3 linked regions of the Lonchura striata genome follow. The protein of the gene in region 2 binds, or shares a complex with, the protein of the main gene of each other region. Links are inferred from orthologs where the notes say so. Each region holds a gene or a part of one and is shown on either strand. Other genes may lie near its edges.

The links.
Region 1: the proteins of NELFCD (region 2) and NELFB are in contact, whole or in part, in a crystal structure (PDB 8JJ6), measured with the Homo sapiens proteins. The link is inferred for Lonchura striata from reciprocal best matches to the Homo sapiens genes NELFCD and NELFB. Residues at the interface, in XP_047296144.1 of Homo sapiens: Arg63, Ile66, Met67, Glu68, Pro69, Ile71, Phe72, Leu75, Ile89, Gln90, Leu92, Ser93, Tyr96, Thr97, Ala98, Val99, Ala100, Gln101, Thr102, Val103, Asn104, Leu105, Leu106, Trp109, Leu110, Gln112, Thr113, Gly114, Val115, Gln121; in NP_056271.3 of Homo sapiens: Met49, Leu53, Leu56, Val58, Ala59, Asn60, Gly61, Leu64, Lys65, Leu68, Thr69, Leu75, Ile78, Glu79, Phe81, Gln82, Glu84, Asn85, Gly86, Val87, Leu88, Leu89, Ser91, Leu92, Ser94, Ala95, Leu96, Pro97, Phe98, Leu99.
Region 3: the proteins of NELFCD (region 2) and NELFA are in contact, whole or in part, in a crystal structure (PDB 5L3X), measured with the Homo sapiens proteins. The link is inferred for Lonchura striata from reciprocal best matches to the Homo sapiens genes NELFCD and NELFA. Residues at the interface, in XP_047296144.1 of Homo sapiens: Cys204, Gln205, Gln206, Leu207, Glu208, Phe210, Ser211, Leu214, Arg215, Leu218, Ala219, Ile221, Leu222, Asp223, Gly225, Glu226, Cys241, His242, Gly243, Glu244, His245, Thr246, Tyr247, Leu248, Phe249, Ala252, Met253, Ser255, Val256, Leu257; in NP_005654.4 of Homo sapiens: Leu23, Trp24, Ala25, Leu54, Leu58, Leu61, His62, Arg65, Pro88, Trp89, Met92, Val93, Ile96, Leu97, Phe100, Gly104, Ser105, Leu106, Leu108, Leu110, Asn116, Val117, Asp119, Ile120, Leu121, Glu123, Leu124, Arg125, Lys127, Val128.

Annotation. Positions count from the first base shown.
Region 1 is NC_134624.1:4,222,734-4,230,794, reverse strand, and holds the start of NELFB (negative elongation factor B), read left to right. Parts: upstream 1-5,056; 5' UTR 5,057-5,194; coding exon 5,195-5,296; intron 5,297-5,431; coding exon 5,432-5,595; intron 5,596-5,762; coding exon 5,763-5,862; intron 5,863-7,083; coding exon 7,084-7,314; intron 7,315-8,061. Other genes in the region: ectonucleoside triphosphate diphosphohydrolase 2-like, read right to left, coding at 580-697, 2,708-2,821. UniProt on the Homo sapiens protein: Essential component of the NELF complex, a complex that negatively regulates the elongation of transcription by RNA polymerase II.
Region 2 is NC_134619.1:3,738,042-3,745,676, forward strand, and holds the start of NELFCD (negative elongation factor C/D), read left to right. Parts: upstream 1-4,616; 5' UTR 4,617-4,657; coding exon 4,658-4,723; intron 4,724-5,074; coding exon 5,075-5,190; intron 5,191-5,344; coding exon 5,345-5,454; intron 5,455-6,278; coding exon 6,279-6,388; intron 6,389-6,701; coding exon 6,702-6,809; intron 6,810-7,362; coding exon 7,363-7,515; intron 7,516-7,635. UniProt on the Homo sapiens protein: Essential component of the NELF complex, a complex that negatively regulates the elongation of transcription by RNA polymerase II.
Region 3 is NC_134606.1:8,449,665-8,457,651, reverse strand, and holds the start of NELFA (negative elongation factor A), read left to right. Parts: upstream 1-4,904; 5' UTR 4,905-5,192; coding exon 5,193-5,444; intron 5,445-7,987. UniProt on the Homo sapiens protein: Essential component of the NELF complex, a complex that negatively regulates the elongation of transcription by RNA polymerase II.

The sequences.
Region 1 (8,061 bases), on a different chromosome or scaffold from region 2:
AAATTAATGAGGAAAACCGCCAAATTCTCTGAAATGGGAACACCTAAAGGCAAGCTGAACTCATTTTGTGCTGTCAGATGCGATATAGGGAATTGGAGTTTTGCAGCTCTCTTGTCCTGGAGCTACCCCACTTACTGCCCAGGGCACAGTCAGGAGGAGGCCAGGAGTCCTCCTCTTCTCCACAGTCAGGAGAAGATACTAGGAGTCATCCTGCAGTCAGATTTGTCTCCATTGCTGTTCACTGCCTCTCCTGGGTGAGAAGCTCCAGCAACCTTGGCTCTATCACTGATCCATGTGCACATCAAGACAAGCCACATCCTCTCTGCATGTTTCCCTGCCTGCAGCAGCCCCAAAATCCTGACACCTGCTACTGCCAAGGGCCTGATGTGCAACTGTGTGTGGCTAAATCCACCCAGTCGAGAAGAGTTATGCTGAAAATAAGCAACTTGTGCTTTACTATTTCTGTGCACAGCTGGGGGAGCCAAGGAATTTATGGCACTGGTCCATGCACAGGTCTCTGTTTTTCCATCCATCCCATGCCAGTTGCATGGACCATTGAGCAGGAAATGGGCACCTTACCTTGCACAGGGCAGGAGCTGCATCCTCTGATCACCCCGGTCTTGTTTGCCTTGGTGGTTGTCCACTGGTAGATGAACAGGATGGTGCGGGATGGGCCAGCATCCAGAACAATGCCATACTGGAAGAACCCCAGAACATTCTACTGAAAAACACTAGTGAATGCATGCTGACTGATTCTGTAGGGTTACCAAGCATATATAGGTATTCTGGGTCTGCACTGCAGTGCTTGAGTTTGCTTGTGACATTCAAAGAGCAGGTGAAGCCAGAACATGATGAGGATTTGCAGGGAACCATCTGCGTTTCTGAATATATATGAGGAACAGCAGGAGTGAAGAAACGCCCAGAAATACATCAGCCCTACAGTGGCATGCACTGGAGCTGCTCCTGAAACCAGGCAGAGGGCTTCCCCTGAGAGCTGAGCCACCTGGAGCTCAGGAAAAACAGGTCCTAAAGCAGTGGGAGATGGCACTGTTCTCCACTGATTCTGGGACTCAAACTGCTGCTGGTTGGTTTGCTCAGGCTTTTGTGCAGGAATTGGAGGGCTGCAGCTGACTTTTCCCAGGAAACCCAGGACTCCTGTGTCTCTTTGATGTCCCACTGCAGTGAGGGTGTGACACAGGCTTAGGTTTGTGTGCAGAGCTGTAGGAGCTGCAGCAACCAGCACAGACGCTGTTCAACACAGCAGCCCCTCAGAGACAGAGATGATGTCTTGGCAGGAAGAGCAGCAGCAGTAGACATGATCAGCTCACCCCTTGTCCCCGGGCAGCTCTGCTATTGCCCAAACCAAGGGCTCTCTGTCTCCTTGTCCCCAGTGTTTGTTTGCTGCTGACCAAGCCTTGCTGCTTCCAGAATATGAAGGAGAGCAAGGGGAGGCCACTGGACTACCCTGCAGCACAGGTCTGGCTGTCCCCACACCCAAAATAGCTCCAGAGCTAACCTAGGGCTCCTCTGCTCCTCTTACATGACCCCAGTTTGGGACATCTCCTACACAGACAGGAAGAAAACTCATGAGCTGCATGCTAGTGCGTGGTCAAAGCTGGATCTCACACACAAATAGAGCTGTGACTGAGTGGGAGGAGAAACCTCCTGAGAGGTTGATGTTAATGCCACCAGAAGGGTTTCAGCACCAGCCAGAGCTGGCTGCAGGCTCTGAGTGAGGCTGGCTGCCTGCTGCCCTCCTGGAGCTCCCAGTTGCACCAGTCCTGGCAGCCAGGCCAGGGGCTGGTGGGGCTGGGCTGGAGCAGCAATGCGGAAGGAGGCTGGAGCTCCCTGCCCCAGCCTGCTGGCACCCTCCCACACCAGTGACAGCTCGGATTTCTAGCAGGGACATGTTGGCTGCTGCAGAAGAGGAAGAAAGGAATGGCATTGGTGGAGAAACGTGGAATTTTTTTTCTCCTTCAGAAAATTAGAGGCTGCTGCTGAGAGCCCAAGGGAGAAGGGGAGGGATCACCACATTTATGCCCAGCTCAACACCAGGAAAGGACAGAACAAGGAGCAATAAGAGGGGTTTTAACTGAGTTTTGTTTCTGAGAGGAACATGGAGGAGGGGTGCTATTTCTAAACACCCAGGATAGCCTCCTTCTGTTGGGTGGAACCACGGTGTGCCACTGAGCTCACCTCAGCAATGGGAGCATCAAGAGACAGAGCAGGTGAGCATTAACCCCCCAAGACCTGACCCAGCTGTGAGGAGCACACCAGCTCTTTGACTGAAATCAAGACAGGACCAAAGAGAAGAAGGCATGAAAGACAATTTGTTTTTAAGACAGAAGCAGCAGTTCAGGGGCACATTCCTACTGACTTTTGAGAGGGACCTAGCTCTTTCCCTGCACTGACACCACTGGTTCCTTGTTGCTCTGGGGCAGCTCCTGACATGGGCTGCCTCCCCTCAGCCTGCCCTGAGCATCTCCACTGATCCATGGACCATATCCAGCCCGCATTCCATGACCAATCAAAGGAGGGGGCTTGTTTCTGGTTTGAAAACCTACAGCATGTTGAAAGACGCCAACCTGTCCTGACAGTCTTGTTTCAGTTCCCTCCTCGGTTTGTAAGTAGCTCAATAATAAAATTATGTCAAAAGCAACAAAACAGCCCAGCTTAGCTGCCTGTCTCCCCCCTGGAGAGCCCTTACCTTGGTCCTGAGTGGGGCCACGGGCACATCTTTGGTGGAGACACAGAGCAGCACGATGCCCGTCAGCCCCGCTACGATCACCAGCCAGGGGGGAAGCAGCTCTCGCCAAGACATGAAGAGTGTTCTCCTTTCACCAAAGAGGAAGCAGTGGAGCAGCAAACCGGCTGCTTTAATAACCTTTAAAAAGAGCAGAAAGGCGTGGCCAGGGCCCGGCTCTGACTTCAGCCCAGCCCCAAGCCACAGGGACCACAGGGACGCGTGGGCCTGGCTGTGATGTGTCAGGGAGCTCTGCTTTCCCTTCCATCCCTGCTGCCCATAAATAACAGGAGGGCTCTGTGCCCATCCCTGTGCGAGCTGTGCAGCAGCACCGCTGCAACCTCGAAACTGCCCCAGGCAGCGGGGTTGAGGTAAACACAAATGTGGGGTTAACTCAGCAGAAGGCAGGCAAAACTCATCCCTTTGGTATTCCACATCTGGCAGCGTGAGCTTTCAAATTAGAAGCTGGGGAAACTGCTTGTTATTGGATTTACTTTGTTTCTGAGGGCATGAGCCTCTCTGACAGCCTCCCTGTGGAAAACAACCAAGGCTCAGGCTTCTTGAAACACACGCCTGCTTTCTCCTGACAGTGCCACAAAGTCTCATCCCTGCAAATGGAAATTCAGAAGAAAACTCCATGGCTGCTTGCACTGAGGCATTTGGCTGATTGCTCATGTCCACAGACTGGTCATAGATCTGAAGGTGAAACCAGGAATAGGGAAAGGCCACATCTCTGTTTTTGGTGGTTTCCTCTTTTCATTGCTGTCTGCCCATGAGGAAGCCTCAGACACCCCCAGGAACTTGGAAGTGACCCATGTAATAAATAAAAAGGTTTAAAAAGGAAAAAAGGACTATTAAAAAAAAGTCAAAGTGGGAGGGCGTGCACCATGATAGAGAAGAGACTCCCCAGCTGCCCAGCGCTGCCTTTTGCTTAATACCACTTGCTTAATAAATTCTTGTTAATTAATTTATCTATAATTAGCCTCCCCAATTGAATTTGTCCATAACAACCCACAAGGATCGAGTCCAACCCTTAGCCTTGCATAGGACACTCCCAAGAGTCCCACCATGTGGAAGCTCCTGGAGCAGGGCCTGTGGAGAGCTGCAAAGTTGGCCAAGGCTCTGGAACATTTCCCTTGTGAGGAGAGGCTGAGGGAGCTGGGTCTGTTCAGCCTGGAGAAGAGACAGCCCAGAGGGGACCTCATCAGTGTGTATGGGTATCTAAAGGGGGGTGTCCGAGCATGGACCAGACTCTGCTGGTGCCCAGCAGTGGACAAGAGGCAGCAGCTGACACCCAGGAAGCTCCACCTGAACATGGGGAAGAATTTCTTTGCTGTGGGGGTGACCAAGCTCTGAACAGGCAGCCCAGAGAGGGAGTGGAGTCTCCCTCACTGGAGATATTCCAGAACCGTCTGGTTATGTGTAGTAAACATAATTAGCGCCATTCCTTGTATGAAATGTGTAATATTGGATACTTGTTAGATTCTGCTCGTTTGTATTAGGCCCCCCACCCTCGCAGGTGAGACTGGGTGTATATTAGAAACTGATTTACAAGTAAAAAGATGTGGCTTGGCCAGGAGATGGGGATGGGCCATGTCTAGAGAGATTTGGGGACCCCAGGTGCTGATCATGGCGTGAACGACCCGGGATGGATCTCATGGAAATCCTCCGGCAGATCCATGGGAATGCAGCGTTCCCGTAAACTTCATCAAGGGATTCACCAACTCCTGGCACTGAATTGTTCTTCATCCCCAAAAAAGAAAATCTCATTAACCTATGGGCTCTGAATGGAAGAAAAGACTGATTGCTGAACTCTTGGCCTCAGGTGGAATTTTCCCTATAAAAACCGCTTGTGCCAGGCTGGAGGTGTGTGGGCACAGAGGAAAACCTCTGCTGGGGCTGACTCCTTGTGGCACACCCAGGGCTGACCCCGGGCTCGGCTCTGTTCTTTCCTTGTGGCTGGCTAGATAGAATTTGATTGCAAAATAAATATTTTATATTTCATTTTAATTTGGCTGGACAAATTTTCATTTATAACAGTCTGAACACAATCCTGCGCCGTGTGCTCTGGGATGACCCTGCTTGGAAAGGAAGGTGGGGCTAGATGACCGTCTATGATCCCTTCCAGCCCGAACCATTCCGTGATCGCATGTGCTGTCCAAAGGCTCCCTGAGCCCCATGCGCCCTGCCTGGCGCTCAGCCGAGCCGCACCGAGCTCCTCGGGCCGCGGGGAGCCCGGGGCAGCCGCCGCGGAACCTTGGTGCGGCGGAACCTCCGTGCTGCGGCGCGGGGCCCGCCCGCGGGGCGGCTTGGGGCGGACCGCGCGGAGCCGGGGCGGGAGCTGAGGCGGGACCGGGAACCGGATCGGCACCGGGATCGGGATCGGGAATAGGGCCGGGAACAGGGCCGGGAACGGCACCTGGAGCGGCCCCCGCGCCCGGCCGGGCCGACATGTACGCGGGGCTGCAGGAGCTGGGAGTGGCCAACGGCGAGGACCTCAAGGAGACCCTGACGAACTGCACGGAGCCGCTGAAGGCCATCGAGCAGTTCCAGGTGCGCTGGGGCCGTGTGGGGCCGGGCCGTGCGGGACAGCGAGCACGGGACGGCCCCCAGCGCCCTCTGGGCTTTTCCTGGCTGTATTTGTAATCCCGAGTGCCGTTGTCATTCCCTCGGCGGGTTGTGTTGCAGACGGAGAACGGGGTGCTGCTGCCCTCGCTGCAGTATGCCCTGCCCTTCCTGGACCTTCACGGCACCCCCCGGCTCGAGTTCCACCAGTCCGTGTTCGATGAGCTGCGGGAGAAGCTGCTGGAGAGAGTCTCTGCCATCGCTTTGGAGGGGAAGGTCGAGGAGAGGTTTGTCAGCAGCCTCCTGGGAGTTCTGTGTGAAAATACAGTGGGTGGGTGACTTCTCTAAAGGAGAGTTGGGCTCTTCAGGGTCCGAGTTCCAGTGGCTTTGAGGTGGCCACTTCGTTCCTTTACTGCTGCGTGGTACCTAGTCTCATGTTTTCCCATGATTTCAGATACAAGAAGCTGGAAGATCTCCTAGAGAAGAGCTTTTCCCTGGTCAAGATGCCCTCGATACAGCCCGTGGTCATGTGTGTCATGAAGCACTTGCCCAAGGTGGGACCACTGCACTGGTTGGCCTGGTGTGATGTGGTATGTCACTGGTGTGACATCTCTGGTGTGACATCTCTGGTGTGACATCTCTGGTGTGACGTCTCTGCTGTGCCTCTGGCAGGGAGGCTCTGCTCCCTCTGCTCCTTCTGCAAGTGTGTTTTTCAGTGTCAAGAACTGACTGAGGATTCAACACATTCTTGTATCTGCTAATAGCTCAGTGGACTAATTCAAAAAGCCTTTCACATTTTCATTATCAGACGAGACTATTTCCCTATTTTCTTCAATCCATGCAGCTTCCTAAAAAGTCAAGTTTGCTGATAGGTGAATTTTTCCACAACTGTTTTGCAAATCTTTGACAAGTGGAAGGTAAGGCTTGAAAAGTGCAATTAAAAGTAGGCAGGAGGGAGAATCAGGTCTGTGAAACAAAAATCCTTACTAAAAGCATCATGTTGCACTCAATGTAATGGACTCAAAACACTGCTGGAACTTCAGTAAATTACTGAGCTTGGAAACATCACCTCAAATCTCAGCACTGGAGATTTAAAGTAGACCTTTTTTCTTCTTTGAAAGAATCAAGGGTGTGTGATTTGGGTGTTGAAGTCTCTTAGGGCTGGTCTACTGCTACACCAGGTGGGTGAATGCCCAGACTGCCTGAGGTGGGGATCACGGCATGGAGAGGATTGCCTCACCTTGAGTCCTGGGGCTGTTTGGGCACAAGATGAAAAAACATCTAAAGCTGTTGGAAAATGTTAAAAGGATGGTGCAGGGTGTGGAGGGGCCCGTGAGGAGCAGCTGAGGGCACTGGGATGGTTCAGCTGGGGCAGGCTGAGGGCAGAGCTCCCCGGGGCTGCAGCTCCTCCTGGGGCAGCTCCAGCTCTGCCCTGGGACAGGGACAGGAGCCAGGGCACGGCTGGAGCTGGGCCAGGGCAGCTCAGGCTGGAGAGCAGGAAAGGTTCTTCCCCCAGAGGTGCTGGCACTGCCCAGGCTGCCCAGGGAATGGGCACGGCCCCGAGGCTGCCAGAGCTCCAGGAGCCTTTGGCCAGCGCTGCCAGGGATGCCCAGGGTGGGATTTTGGGGGTCTGGGCAGGGACAGGGGCTGGGCTGGATAATCCTTGTGGGTCCCTCCCAGCTCAGGAGGTTCTCTGATTCCATGATTTAGATGGTTACATGGACAGGCAGGGAGGTGAGGTGCTGCTCACTCTGTACCTGCTCTGTGGATTGCAGGTCCCTGAGAAGAAGCTGAAGCTGGTGATGGCTGATAAGGACCTGTACAAGGCCTGTGCTGTGGAGGTGAAGAGGCAGATCTGGCAGGACAACCAGGCTCTCTTTGGGGATGAGGTGTCACCCTTGCTGAAGCAATACATCCTGGAGAAGGAGAACATTCTCTTCAGCAATGATATTTCCTTCTTGCAAAATTTCTTCAGTCCATCTCCCAAAACGAGACGTCAAGGAGAGGTAAGGACAAGGAAACCCTCACAATGTGCTGGTGAGGGGAATTACCAGCTTTCAGTCAACCATCACATAAATAACCTGAGCTGTTTTTTTCTGCCCATCTTCACTGCTGCAGTTGTTTAGCTGAACAAACTCTTTGCAGGAAGCACCAGGCCATTTTCTCCTGCACATTTTGATAAAAGCAGGAGGAATTATTTTAATTGTTGTGTAATAAATGATGAATGTTCTAAGTTGTTTATACACTTCAAAAAAAGAAAGGGCAGATTTTTTCTCTGGTGGTCAGTCTGGTTTTAATACACTTCAGCTGTTCTGAAGGCTGAACATCTCTTACCACATCAGTTTGATTATGCTGATATGTTAAATTCGCTTTCTTAGGACTTTTTTTAGTAGATGTATTTCAACTGAAGTTGCTTTTTTTAAAAAAAAACTATGTAGAAAGTTGTAGTTAATTGGCATCCGGAAAAGTTGAATTAAATTAAGGCAGTATAGTTTTAATTTCAGAGAGCACAGCACATCTGTTACATGAGGGTTTGTTTTAGGCTTGTTTTGCTTTCAGAATCATTTGGTGTAAATGCCCTTGTGCAATTTACTCCAGGTTTGCACTGCAGAGTTGTGCTTTAACCCCAGCTGGACATTCAGCACCACACCTCCACTTGGTCACTCTCCTTGAGGGGATGGGGGGAGAATCAGAAGGGTAGAAGAAAGAATCTGTGGGTTGGGACAAAACCAGGTTATGGCAGCTTTTGGTTT
Region 2 (7,635 bases):
ATACAAATTTATGCTAAAAGAATTTGTAGAGGGCAAGGAGCAGAGGGAATGACAGAGACTGCCAGGGTGGATATTTTTGAAAACCATATGAATAAAAGGCAAGCAGTTCTGTTAGAAGTTGGCTCTTCTGTTTGGGATTTTTCTTCTATATTTTAGGAAGAAACCAAATGAAGTTGGATGATTTTATCAGCTGTATTACATTCAACCCTTTAGGCAGCAAATCCTGGAATACAGTTGTTAAATACTCTGGTGAAAAATCAAGCAAATTTTAATAGTTGGAATTGGAACTTGAGCATTGTTTATTTTTATGTTAAATAACAACCAAAAAAAAGGTACAAAGAAAAAATAATGTAATTTTACATGTTCCTGTACATCTGGCTCTTCTTCACAGACTTTCACTTTCCAGAATGCCTTTACTGCTTCCTCGCACCATGCAGCAGAGACACCAAAGCTGACTTTCACTGGATATTTATCGGGCTCCAAATTTTCTCTCTGTCTCAAACTTTATCTCAAAGTTTGCTCTCTGCTTCATCAAAATCTCATTAGATAGAAATTGTCACTCAAGAATATTTTACACATAAAATGTAGTCAAATATGCATTTAGGGGAAAATTTGTTACATTAATTTTCTGCATAATAAATCCTTTCAGGGACATTCAGGTAAATCTAAGTGCTTTTAGTCATGAACATTTCACTGATACTTTGTAAGACACAAATCCATATGGGGGAATGCAGTTAAACTCAAGAGACAACCAACATTGTTTCCATTCAAAATTGTAAAGGTTTAGTTAGCAAAATCAATTTCTGGTACCTTTCATATTTCATCTCATTTTAAGTGATATCTTGAAAGTGTTTGGTTTAATCTGACTTTACCTCTTGTTTATTGACCTGAAGTGAGGCAAGCTTGGATATTGCAATTCTGCAAAGGGCTATTCAGCAAATGTCTGGCTGTTACAGATCTCTAGTTTCCTTCTCAAGGGAAGCTGAAAGTAAATGCTTTGAGTATTGTTAATTCTTTATATATTAAAAAAAATATTTTTCTGTTACTGCAATCAAAATAAAGAGATATAAATATATAAAGATGGAAAACTTCTAGTTTTAAGATTCAGGCACTGAAATTGTATCATAAATATCTTAACTGTCTCTTTATGGCAGTTGGTGCTGGGGACTGCTCCCATTTTCTACTCAATTAAGGAGGAAGTTTTGTAGCATAATTACCACTGAGGTCCCACAAGTCCAACTGTTGTCACCAAACAAAACTTTTGCCTGCTCTGAAAACGCTTTACTGAGGCTAGGAGTGCTTCAGGCCATGAGCTCTGGTACAATGAAATTATCTGGGCTGCAGATCCCAATGTCCTGCCCAGGAGATGCACAGCAAATGTTGGTTGTGGGAAGATTCTCCTACCTGTATAAAAATCGTCCCTCATAAAAAACGACCACAGGCATCAAGATACCCTCACTGTCCTCCTGCCTGCAGTGGAAAACGTGGAAAACCTTGTGGCTCTGCTTCAATCCGTGTGGTTTATCCCAAAAAAAGCCTTTTTTCCTTTCTGCTGGCCGAGCAAAAAGAACATTATCCCGGGCTCTCCCGACTGGGAGCAGTGTTCCAGGAAAAGCTGTTTCACCACTGTAGGGCAGCACAGGACAGCACAATTCTGCTGTGCTGCAGCTCAGGTGCTGGGGTACATTCTCTGTATTGAACTTTGGAGTGCAGCAAATCCCTTGATTAGCACATAAACCACATCTAAACAAGGATTTTGTCTGTTGGAGATGCTGTAACTTATTTCTGAGCAGGGGGTTTTTGGCCTTTTTTACCAAGCAACGCATGGAAGACCATGTCATTTTTTTATACTGTTTTTCAGTTAGAAACAGAATGAGAATAAAGGACCTTTTAAATAATTAATCAGCAAAACTCCTGGCTGGTCTCCAAATCCCAGAACACAGCCTTACCCTCCCCTTTCTCCCAGTGAAACTCTGATCCAACTGAAGAGTGGGACTGGAGCTGAAGAGAGACAGAGGGACTGTTTCTCACATGATCTCACTAATGCCTCTCTCCTTGCCCGAGGCCTGATTATGTGATCAGTTTTCATTGTAGACTCGTCCCTGTTCATCTAATTCCTTGTCCTTCCCTTCCTTGAGGACCCTCTTGACCTGTTATCTTTGCTCAGCATCCTCAGGAAGGTCCCAGGGTGAGCACAGCGAGTGCTCTGCAGGTCCCGTTTTGTGGATGGGGAGTGTCACACTACGACACGAAATATTACTCACACAAACAGGCTGGATGTAAAAGGAGAGAAAAAGAACCAAAAAAAAGCAAACTTTATTTTCTGACTCTACTATATCTATAATATAGTAGAGTATAATATATATATAATAGCAAAAGTGACTGGATTGGAGGGTGAAACTGCCACCTCTCCAACCATACTGGTCACACCAAGAGTTCATCAATTCTCTCCACCCACAAAGAATAATGCAAAGCAATCATTGTTTATATGAACAGTGTGAGAAAATTCAGTAGAAATATGTAAAAAACAGAAGGCACAAGAAACTTTTCTAAGAACTTTAAAACTCTCAAAAGAACAGGGTGACAGGGGAGCAGTCACAGGCTGCCCTGCCTGCTTACAGAACAGCCCCACGACAGGGGATGTGGCTCTCACAGCACCTCTCCTCTGCCCAGAGATGCCCACTTTGCTCCAAAGTTATCCCTTCCTCCTTTTATTCTGTTTTGGTTTTGGTTTCTGTTTTCTTACTTGTCAGCTTTTCTATTCTACCATAACATTTCATCATTCCTATTGTGAAAAACACCCGTCACTTGGTTTTTAAAATTTTAAAAGTTTAGTAATAATAAAATGGTTATAAAAATAGTAATACAATTAGAGTAATAAAGTTTAGAGCGAGGACAATTACAAGACAATAAAAAGCAAAGAGCTACGGACGTCCGGATGCTCTCGGACACTCGGTCACGAAAAGCATCCCTTGTGAACAAAGGAATCACCCTTAAAACAATACACTTGTTGCATATTCATACATCCTTCATGGTTATGCATACATTCTATTTAAAACAAGAAACTCTGTCTGTTGTGTGTCAACTCTTTCCTTTAATCCCCATGGCGTCTTCGAGTCTGAGCAAGGCCTGAAGAAATTAGTTTCTTCTGGTAAGAAGCCATAAATTCCTTTCCTTTGGAAGATGTAGGTGTTCCTCGAAGCGAGTATCTCATTCCTAAAAAAAAAACTCCTCCCACATCTCTATTTTAACATTATGTTGGAACCTAAAACTATATTTAACACACTACTTAAGAGAATGAATACAGCATAACTTTCTAACATTACACATATAATATTCAGTGTAATATTTGCAAAAAGCCAATCACAAAATATGCATTTTTTACACTATCAATTTGCTGTTGTTTGACATCGCCCTCATGCTTCCATGTGAGTGAGGGAAGGAGTGAGGGAGGGAGGGCAGTGCTGTGTGTGCAGTGGCAACCAGAAGAGGAATAAATCCCTCAGAGAACACATCCCTTGGAGAACACATTGCTTGGATAACACATCACTTGGAGAGCACAAACCTTGAAGAACACAATCCCTGGAGAACACAACCCTTGGAGAACACAACCCTCGGAGAACACATTGCTTGGATAACACATCACTTGGATAACACAACCCTTGAAGAACACATCGCTCAGAGAATAAAAACTTTGGAGAACACAACCCTTGGAGAACACAACCCCTGGGAGAACACATCCCTAAGAGAATAAAACCCTTGGAGAACACAACCTTTGGAGAACACAACCCCTGGAGAACATATCCCTCAGAGAATAAAACCCTTGGAGAACACAACCTTTGGAGAGCACATCCCTCGGAGAACACATCCCTCAGAGAAGCCACCCCTTGGAACAACGCATCCCTTTTTTCCCTCTTCCCTTGCAATTCCCGTGCGGTTGCTGCTGCGCTGGGAGGCTCCGCAGGGCAGTTTGAGTTCACATTTACACTGGCTCCTTTCCCCTCAGAGCCGGGACGCCATGCCCCGCCGTACCGTCGCCCCTCAGAGCCGCGCCTCCATACCGTACCGCCGCCCCTCACAGCCGCCCCTCAGAGCCGTGCCTCACAGCCATGCCTCCATGCCGTGCCACCGCCCCTCAGAGCCGCCCCTCACAGCCGTGCCTCCATACCGTACCGCCGCCCCTCACAGCCGTGCCTCCATACCGTGCCGCCGCCCCTCACAGCCGTGCCTCCATGCCGTGCCGCCGCCCCTCAGAGCCGCCCCTCACAGCCGTGCCTCCATACCGTGCCGCCGCCCCTCACAGCCGTGCCTCCATGCCGTGCCGCCGCCCCTCAGAGCCGCCCCTCACAGCCGTGCCTCCATACCGTGCCGCCGCCCCTCACAGCCGTGCCTCCATGCCGTGCCGCCGCCCCTCAGAGCCGTGCCTCCATGCCGTGCCGCCGCCCCTCAGAGCCGTGCCGCCGCCCCTCACAGCCGCGCCTCCATGCCGTGCCGCTGCCCCTCAGAGCCGCCCCTCACAGCCGTACCTCCATACCGTACCGCCGCCCCTCACAGCCGCGCCTCCATGCCGTGCCGCCTCCCCTCGGAGCCGCCCCGCCGTGCCGCCGCCCCGCGCCGCCGCCATTGCGGCGCCCCGCCCGTTCCGGCGCGGGCGGACATGGAGGACGCCGATTACTTCGAGGGCAGCGCGGCCGAGTGGGGCAGCGAGGCGGACGGGGGCGCGGTGAGCCCGGGGGAGCGGGGCGAGGGATGGCCGCAGCCCCAGGCGTGTCCCGGGGCAAGCCCCGGGCACAGATCCGAGCGTTCCCCTGGCTCCGGAGCATCCTCCGGGAGCGTCCCGGGGCTGCGGGCTGAGGCGGCAGCGCCGCGTGTGTGAGGGCCGGGGCCGCGCCGGGCCCGGGATAAACCCTGCGGGTTTTTGTGCCTTCTCCCTTATTAATCGCTGTTTGTCGGGGTGCAGGTCGCTTGCGGTGCTGAGCCGAGGTGTGTGTGCTGCTGTGGGCAAAAACAGCCTGAAGTGGGAGTGTGGGGGGAGACGGGACAGGGAGGCTGACCTGACTGTGCTTGTGAGCAGCAAGATGATGAGGATGGGGAGGGAGAAGATGATGCCGAAGTGCAGCAGGAGTGCCTGAAGAAATTTTCAACACCTGATTATATAATGGAACCGTCTATCTTTAACACGTTAAAGAGGTGAGTGTGATTTGATGTGTGTTATAGGTGTCACTTCGTATAGAAACATATGCAAATCTATAAATGGTGCTGTTGTTTTCCCTTTAAATTTACACTTCTATTGAATTTTGGGTTTAATATGACTCAAATAGTCCTTTTGTAATCCTTTTATCAGATATTTCCAAGCAGGAGGGTCTCCAGAGAATGTAATTCAGCTTCTCTCTGAAAACTACACTGCAGTGGCACAGACTGTCAATTTGCTGGCAGAGTGGCTCATTCAGACAGGTATGATACAAGATACAGAGTATTTTGGGTCTATTTTCTGTCAGAAATGTCTGAATGTCTGGCAAATTTGATCATCCACAGGAAGTGGATTGTTATAAAGCCATCATCCAGTATGTGGCTAAATCCTTTATAATAATAGGTTTATTCCGCTTGGAGAATAATGAAGCAATATGTTGATGAAAGGCCAACAAACTATGTTATGAAAGGTTTTATAGTTGAAATAACTGCATAAATTATAGCTTCTTTTTAATTTTATTCAATGGGTAAGGGAGCTGTTATGTAGACAGTATAAGCAGAGTTTTTATCCTGTAATGGAATTAATTATGTAATCGTTATTACATTACCAGAATTATTATACTCTGATTTTAGAAATGTAGAACTACTCATTTTTACTTGTGTGTTATTTTTTATAATACTACCAAATCTACTGATAACCAATATTTAAAAGGATTAATTTTACTGTGTAGTAACATGGCTTTGTGCCCCAGCCCTGGTGATCCCTTTTTTGGTTAAGACACCCCCTGCATTTTGCTGTTACACCAGTAAGAGTCCTGGGGATGACTGGCAATGTTTTTTGTGTGTCTAATGAGGAAAGAGGAAGGTTGTGACCTGCCTGAGATCTTAAACAGTTCAGCATTTAGGAAAAAGAGGTGGAAAATCTGTAAATCTGTATAAGCGTGGCTCAGTAGTAGAACTGATGGCTCTCATCTCTGTGCTGATAAATTTTGGAGTAATTTCTGTTCTCACTGTAAAATGTGGGATGTCGCTGCTGTGTTCCACTGTACCACACTGCATGTGCCAAGTGTTTTGTTCCTTCTGTGCAGGTGTTGAGCCAATGCAAGTTCAGGAGACTGTGGAGAACCACTTGAAGAGCTTACTGATCAAGCACTTTGACCCTCGGAAAGCAGATTCCATCTTTACAGAGGAAGGAGAGGTGTGCATGCAATCCCTGTTGCTGTCCCTACAGAGAATCCTTCCTAGATGCCTTCATCTGATGGAATGGTGAAGGGAAGGGAAATTGAATCTTCAAAGCTCTTTAGCTGGTTTCAGACAACCAGCTCTGTCTCACTGGAGTCCTCAGAGGTTTAGAGAACTGGGAAATTTGGAATACATCCCCATTAGTTGTTCTACAGTAATAAAGCTCTGTAGAACAACTCACTGGACTGCTGAGAGGTAAAAGCCTTGCTTTTTATGATCTTGACAACAAAACATTCTTAAATTTCTCTCTGTTGCTCTGTTCTTTTCAGACTCCAGCCTGGCTTGAGCAAATGATAGCACATACCACGTGGAGAGATCTTTTTTACAAATTGGCAGAAGCCCATCCTGATTGTTTAATGCTTAATTTTACTGTGAAGGTACTACACTTAAGTCTAATGAGTAAGAATATCCATAGATAGCTAATTGTTCTGGCATCAATTATTAGGTGTTGCCTTGCTTGTATCTTTTATGTATTCCTGCTAATACTAATTAGTAAAAAGACTCCTTGGTGGGAGGACTTGTGCTACAGGTGGAGTAAGTGTAATTTCCCAGTTTGAAGTACTGCTTTTTCATTTTTTGTTGAGGTTGTTGGGGTTTTTCTCTTTTTTTTTCTTGTTTGTTTGTTTTCCTGTGATCTCTCAAAATTCTGTATTTCTGGTGCAGTGGAATGTCTCAGACAGTTTTGTATGTTGCTGTGATAAGAAAAGAATGTTATATTTTGGTGTGCTCTGCTACATTTTTTATTATTGTGCTTTATTTTTGCTACCTCTTTATTGGTTTCCTTTTCTGTAAACCACAATGTAAATGTGAATTCCAGTCAGTGTGTGCAGAGGTGAAACTTAGATTGTCTGTGTTCTTCTAGATTTGTTAGGATATCAGAAATAGAAATGCAAATAACACAAGATTTCTGTGATGTTTTTATTTTTATAGCTTATATCTGATGCTGGGTATCAAGGGGAAATAACCAGTGTTTCAACAGCATGTCAGCAACTAGAAGTATTTTCCAGAGTCCTGCGTACATCTCTGGCAACAATTTTAGATGGGGGAGAGGAAAACCTTGAGAAAAACCTCCCTGAGTTTGCTGTAAGTTTGGTTTTTTTCCCCCTTTTTATGTGGAAAAAGAATTGTTCTGCTTTCCAATTAGGAGATAGAGATCAGTGTAGGATTGTAGCCAATTTTGATGTCCTATAAAAGCTTATGAAG
Region 3 (7,987 bases), on a different chromosome or scaffold from region 2:
AGTTTCTGAAAGATAATAAAGAGGGAGAGAAAAAAGGAAATAAACTTATGGGTATTGGCAAACAAAGTCCCAGGGGGTTATGAAAAGGGAAGCATTCTTCCTTGAAAACTTCATGACTTCCTTGTGGAAGATCACAGCATTGTCTCAATGTGCCCTATGTCACAACCTGTAATACCCCTCATTTCAGCACAATTGCATTATGACAGCTACTGAAAGCATTATGCCTCCAGCAAAATAAGAATAGGATGCTTTACACATTCTATACCATGAGATGTCAAGTAACAGATGATCCAATGCAAGGCCTTTCTACCACTTGGCCATATCATCACAAGCAGAGACAATTTGAAGCACAGTGCATGGGCAAATATATGGATTTAAAACAACAAATTTATTTGTGTGCAACACTTTGTGTTTTAGGTCCTAGGGGTTTTTCAAAACCTCTAATGGTCTTTAATTTCACACATTGTTAGGTCTAATTAATGGTATTTGGACTGTTCACAGTGATGGTGTTCTTATTTATTAGAAGTAATTGAGAACTTAATTGAGCTCTGCATTCATAGTTTCATGTTTTAAATAACAATTTTAATTCTTCCTTTTGTTATATTAATCTATCTTAAATCTTACTAAAATCAAGAGTAAAAGAAAGACAATGGAAGAGGTGGCAGAGGCAACCAAACAGATGGGTGTTTCCTCAAGGATGGGACCTCTCAGGTAGGTGTCTCAGGTACAGAGACCTTAATGAAATTATTTTATCACTGCTGACCCTCAGTGTTCAGGCCCCATCAGCCACACATCAGAGCCCAGAGCAGGAGTGTACCAAGTTTAACTGCTCTAGAGCAAGACAGAAGGAAAAGTAGTCTTGATTTCAACCTCTTCCTCTTCATGGGCCTTTTTCATCATTGGCTTTAAGTCACTGCATCATTTTGAAGTTTATTTCAGAGGGAAAATAATCATAAAATCATGTGACTATATGTCTTGTGCTGCAAGAGGGTATGACAGCAATGTAAGCATAATCCTGGACACAGGCAGCTGGATGGAGCAGCATTGAAAAAAACATTGAAACAATTACTGCCCATCATGCCATGCCAATTCACACAACAAGAAGTACCAGGACATTTTTTGTAGCTTTTATCTTTATTTCTGCTGGAGGCTTTGCCTCCCAGAGAAAGGAGCTGACTGTGTCACAGCTAACAGAGGAGGTTCCCACAATGAAGCTTTGCCTTAGACTTGAGGAAGTCAGATAATCTGGTTTTATTTGAGTAAATTCTCAGCCCATGTGTTGTTTCAGATCACATTGCTACAGCAGTCTTAAAATGGGTCAAATAAAACTCCCACACAAAATGATGCACCCACACAATTGCATTAACCCATAATAAGCAGCATTTTACAAACTGAATTATAACTGTCTTTAAACTGATATTAAATACCATTTTATAAAATCATCTCCTGCTTAATAACAATTAACTGTGTACCTTAGACCCACTGAGAAACCTCTGTTGTCAGTTACCATAAAGGATATTAGACTTGTACTACTACCAGTTACTCCATTAGTGCCCCTGATACCTCTAAATGCTTAACCCCACAGTAAACTTATATGCCAGCCTGATATCAAAGGATAAAATTTATCTCCTTTTTCTGCTTTGAAAACATAGGAAACAGTGCTTTAAAAGCCTATTGAAAAGATGCGGTATTTAGAACTCAAGATACAAATATAAAAGTTCACAGAAAAGCTGTTATTCAGTCCTGATGGCAATGCTGGGGGAGCAGAAGGATAAATTATATGATAATACACAATCTACTGCTCTGTCTCCCTTCCTGGGCTGGCCCCTGTGAGCATGGCATGAATCACAGCCTAAAGCCCTGCTGGCTCAGACACTACCATACTTGCCATTGCAGGATGAGGTGCCAGTGGGAATGCAGTGCCACTGCTCATGCCAACGCCGTGTTTACTGCACATGCCTCAGCACTTCCTTAAAAACAGCAAAGCAGCTTCTTGTTCACTGAGAGATCAGAGCCAACACAAACTGAAAGCTCTGCCCATGAGTGTACCAGATGCTGTGCTGCTTTCCCTCGAGCCAGGAGAACTCCAGGCTCTACCCCTCAACATCCTGCTGGGTACAAGTAATGATGTTGAATCTGACACAGCACTCTGCTCTGGATAGCACAGGGCTAGATAGATAATATTTCAACAGGTAACAAGCTAAAACTGCAGGTTGGGAAATTCATGGAGCACTGGTTTTGGTGTGAGACAAAGCTTCACCTTTGTTAAAAGTATTATAAAGCAGATTCAAAGAAATTAACTCTTGCCTGTGCCTGGCTCTTTTTTCAATACTGTCATGACTGGGTGAGTGAATGACTCCAGGGTGTCCCCCTGGTCAATTTTGTGGCACACTCCACTCCCAACTTTTCTCAACAATTTCATATTCAACATCACCTCCTTTGAAATAGGGACCTGCAACTTACAGGAAAAAACATCTGCAGACAGTTATCTGTGCAATGCAACATCTTGAGGGATACAAAACATTCCAGAGAAATCAAGTACCCCTTTTCCAGCTCCAGAAATCCCTGAGGAATGAGCCTTTTTATATTTGGCATATCACTCTGAAAATCACTACCCAAGCTAAACAAAATTTAGGTTTAAAAAAAAAAAAAAAAAAAAAAAAAGCACTTAATTCCAACAGAAATTTAAGGTACAAGTAGCTGGCACAACAAAAGCTCTTACAGGAGGCTGGCACTTTGTCTTAATCTCCAGAGTGTCTGATACCTCTTCAGGTAAGAGCCAGAGGGACAAATCTGCAGGTGATAGGGCTGGAGCCAAACTGACCATGCAAATCCACACATCACAGAATAGGCTCCCTTCTCAAGTCACACTTCAGATAAAAGCACAAAAGTCATCACAGCAGCTCAGACTAGATGGCCATGTGGCTCAGTGCCTTAACACTGACAGTGTCTAAAAACAGATGCCTCGAGGAAAGCACAGGAACGGTGTGTGTGTAATAACCTTCCTTAGCTTCCATCAGCCTGCAGTTTGGCTCTCCTGAGAAAAGCAGCACCAAATCCCAGAATAACTTGAATAACTTTAGGGAATCAGAGCTACCCTTTCAAAGACAGCCAGTCCAGCCATCTGAACTGGTGGAGTTTGTGTCATCTCACAGAACCAGGTTAACTCTGTTACAGCCACTGCTTGAAGACAACCAGCTGTGCAAACATGTTCTGATTTACCTCCCCCAAAACAATTTTAAAAGGGGTTGGTTACTTTCTTGCACAATTAAAAGATGAGATAATCACTAGTTTTCCTTGCTTAATTAGATTTTTTATACTATCTCATGGATTTTACCCGATAGATAAGATTGTACCCAAGACTTACCAATACTGGTGCCTACCTTTAACAGCTATATGTAATTAATGGAGAGCAAAGGTTACTAGTGATAATTACATGTTGATTATATGACTAAGTGAATGCAATTCCTTTACAGCTACTTTTAAACCTTTTGCTTTAATTACTTTCCTGTTATATGAGGTTATATTCCTTTATATAAATATTCTGTAGCAAATTTAGTAATTTAGCTCAGCGTCTTAGATACAATGTTTTTTCTGTTCAAACCAACAGATACATAGGTATTTGTGGAGAAGTAATTCCCCCCCCAGCTACATAGTGAACTTACATATTGAGAAATCAACAGAAATTCTGGATATTTATGTGCTACACTGCCTCAGCTTTGATTTTGCTGTTCTAAAATATCAGCTCACTCCATACAAAAGTTCTGTCTTAAGTCAGATTTGAGTATAAATTGTTTGATGGTACAAAAAAAATGCATTATTAGGTATGGAAAAAGTCATAATGTACTAATATAGAATTTATTCACACAGAAACTCTTTGCCTCAAAATACTTCCACACTGACAGAAGTTATAGCACCCAAGAGCTGCAGTCACTCAGTAGCATGAACAAAAAAAGACTCCATGATGTACATTTAGATTGAATAGTAAGAAAAACATTTTCACTGAAAAGGTCGTTAAGCATTGGAAAGACTGCCCAGGGAAGCGGTAGAATCGCCATTCCTGGAAGTGTTCAAAAGTCTGGAGATGTGGCATTTGGTGACATGGTTTAGCGGTGGCCGGGTTGATGTTTGAATTCGGTGATCTTCGAGATCTTTTCCAACCTGAAGGATTATGTGATTCTATGAGAAAACATAGAGCACCTCGGCAACTATTGCTCTGTTCTCCCAGAGAAATCAGGTTGTAAACAATGTCTTTTAACGGCGGAATGTTGTAAAGAAAACGTTTTCATTCTAAAGCGTAGGAGAAAGATCAGCAGAATATGCTCCGCACTCTTGCAACTCCTGTACTTTAGTTTCAACCAGAGAAGCGCTAAAACGAACCGTTTATGCTGCACTTGAAAGCCCCCTGAATCTTCGGGGATTTAGGAAATTGATTCATTTTTTTCATATTTAAATAACAACGAGCCGAGTCGCTAGGGAATACGAATGCATGCGGTGCGGGTTTCTGCGCGCCTACCCCCGGCGCTGCAGCCACCGAGGGAAGCCCGCCATGGCTGCGGCACCCAGCACGCCAATCTCCGGGGAAACCATGGAGGAGATACTCGGCCCCTCCTCCGGGCTCCTCCGGGCGGGCAGGGCTGGCGGCTCTCTCGGAAGCCCTGGCTGAAAGCTTTTTAAGCGGGCATTAGCGCCGGGGAGCGGCGCTGGGCGGGAGCGCGGGCCGGCCGCCCCGCCGGGGCTCGGGGCTGTGAGGGAAGCAGACGTGGTGCTCCGGGGAGCGCTGCGCCGGGAGGCGCGGGGGCCAGCCCACCTCGGGCAGGAAGCCCTGCCTCCAACCCCGCCGCGGCTCGGCGGCCCGCAAGCGGTTCTCCTCCCATTTCTGCCCAGGAGGAGTCAGGGCGGACTGTGAGGGACAATGAGTTGGGGCTGACAGAGGAGCTTCTCTACAGTGAAGCGGCGCCATCTTGCTTTACGGACGGAAAGCTATGGCGGGCGCCATTTTGCATTTGGCCGAGAGATGAGACGCGCCTTATTGCATTCCGCCTCCTGGGCGCCGCCATTTTAGGTTACGGCATAGCCTCCGCCTTCCCAAGCGCAACCTCATTGGGCGCCGCCATTTTGGCTTACGAACAAGACGGCGACCCGCAGGGGTCCTCACCCCCTCCCTTCCTCCCTTTAGGTGCCTTCATAAAATGCCCGTCGAGAATCCCCTCTTTTTTCGCCCCGCTCCCAAGATGGCGTCGATGCGGGAGAGCGACACCGGCCTGTGGCTGCACAACAAACTGGGCTCCACGGACGAGCTGTGGGCGCCGCCGAGCATCGCCTCGCTGCTCACGGCCTCGGTCATCGACAACATCCGTCTCTGTTTCCACGGCCTTTCCTCGGCCGTCAAGCTCAAGCTGCTCCTGGGGATGCTGCACCTGCCCCGCCGGGCGGTGGATGAGGTGAGAGCCGGGGGGGAGTCGCAGCGAAGCGGGGCGCGCGTGTGTGTGAGGGGGAGAGGTCGGGGATGGCGTGAGGGGAGAAAGGGGGGCAGTGCCGGCACAAGTCCCCCGCCCGCCCTTTATTTTCCACACGGCGCTGCGGGGAGGGCGAGCCCCGGGCTGCCCGCGGGGCGAAGCCGAGCGGCCGCAGCCCCTCAGGGCAGGGGCGTGGGGTAGCGCTGGTCCCCACAGCCTTCCCCGCCGCTCCCTCGCAGCCTTCCTTGCAGGGGCAGGAGTAAGTGAAGAAGGTCTCCCGACTCGCTTCCTCGGTGCGAGGAAGAGCGCCGAGATTCCCCGCGATAAGGGAGTGAGTGGAGTGGGAGCTTTGCTGCTGCTCCTCCTCTTCCTGCTCTTCGGGGATTCCCTGGTTGGCACTAGGTTTTTGAAAGCAGTTTGGACATGAAACCCACTGTGCGACCCACAGGGACTCATTGTAGGGCTGTGTTTGGGGTGCCTTTAAGGGAAGAGGGCTTTTCTGAGGCAGTGGCTGTGCGGTGGCTGGGAGAGAGGCAGGATCGTGTAGGAGCAGTCGTGTATGTGTTCAGCTTCCTCCACTCCTTCCTTAGTACTGGCAGCTGTGCAGGTGTCACAGGTCGAGCATCTCGCTTCAGGGAGGACAGCAGCAAGTGCTGAAACTTTGGGAGTGGAAGATCTGGGGTCTGCACTGAGCAGTGCTTTTCCCCACCCTGCTGCAGTCAGGTCTTGATTGGGGAAAATTGCCATGCTTTTTGTTTCCCTCCCTTTACCTTTTTGGGAACAGTTGGTGCTTTCCTCTGTTGTCCTACCCCAGTTAATAAACTGGCTGGCTCGAATCTGAGCTGGCTCTGCAGGCTTTTCACTTGGCCCTGGACCATACCTCATCTGCACCTGGCTTATTCTTACCGGTAGGCAGCTGCAGATGTTTGGGGCAATAGCTGGAGAATGTCTGAAAATCTCAGGTTTCTTTAGCCGGATTGGAGGAATTCCTCTCCTGCTTCCATCATGTAAAGTAGTATTTCCTTGTGACGATCATGGAAGTGGTGTGGGGTTAGTTTTCACCTTCCTCTGTAGAGTATCCTCAGCTGTGCTTTCACCAGTCTCTTTCTTGGCTAAGATACAGCTGCTGCTTAAGCTTAATATACATGTATACCAGGCAGGGTGTAGTATGTAACTTGGATTGATGTGCGCTCAGTTTTTGTGCACTTCTAGGCTGAAAATGGGCAAGCATCACCTTCAATAAATAATTTAGTGTATGACAGTGTTTGTCTTGCCACATGTATCTGTATGATTCTTAACTGTGGTACACTGGTGTCACTTTAAAAAAAAAATCTAGTTCAGCATGTTTATGCTAATTTTTAAAATATGATAGTCATGTTTAGTGCCTGTCCAGTGAACAAGCTGTCATCCTTGTGGGTGATAAATGGGGTTGTGTTCTGGACAAACAAAATAATCAAGGCCAGAAAGGGGGATGGGAGCTCGTGTGAACTTGTGAGTTTGCAAAATTCTTGTGACCTTAGTGTGAACATCCAAGTAGCAAATTAGTATGGCAGTGTTTAGAAAAATCAGTGGTGTTTTTAGATTGAAAAGAGCTTCAAAGAGCTTAAGGACTTTCATAAATAGCACTCATGGCAACTCTTTGAGGGAGCAGCATTCAAACAAACAAACTGAAATAATTTGAGATGCTTCAAGAGTGTTCACTAGGTGAACGTTTTAAACCAAACCCGAGGAAGAGCTGCCTGCAGCTTTCCTGGATCTGTGATTGTGTTAGCCGTGGAGATGAAGTGTGTGTAGAGAAAAGCCAGTCAGTGTGCCTTTTACTGTGTACTTAAAGTGATCTGTTGTGTTCCAAATGTAAAGCTCTTGTTCCTGCTGTAAGAAAATACTGTGGGATTTTTCAGTTTGGTAGAGTTAATGAATTCAATCATAAGCTTAATCTTTTATTGTAAACTGATGATGATTGATTGAGATCTACCCTTAGCATCTTTAATTGTTTCAGGAACATGAGATTTTTTTGCCTTAAACTGGGTGAAGGGCCTTAAATAAAGGTTAAAATAGTAAAACTCCTGAGGCAGAAACCCTTAACATTGTTGGTAGGCCTGTTATTATTATTACAGGCTTCCTTCTATAGATGGTAAAAATAGCTGATGTAACCAAACTGCTGACAGAAAGGACTGTTGTCTTATCAGATGCTCATCATTTGTGGTTAGTTTGCTAAGATAGTTTTATTTGTGCAAATTTGTCACCTAACTTAGTATCAAAATATTCAGTGTTTTAATTGTCAGAGAGTACCTTGCACACAATATCCAGCAGATAGATAAATATGTCTGTGTCCAGAATGGCTGTGCTGTGCACATCTCTCTGCAGCAGCCTTTGCTTGTGTGTTGGAAGTCACCCCCATGTCTGAAAATGATTAAACTGAACTATGAGAGTGCTTAATTATTCTCTTTGGAAAGTCATATGTCTTTGCCATGCCATGTGCCTGTGTCTGTATCGATCGAGTGCGAGAAGCACCGAGCTGGCATTTG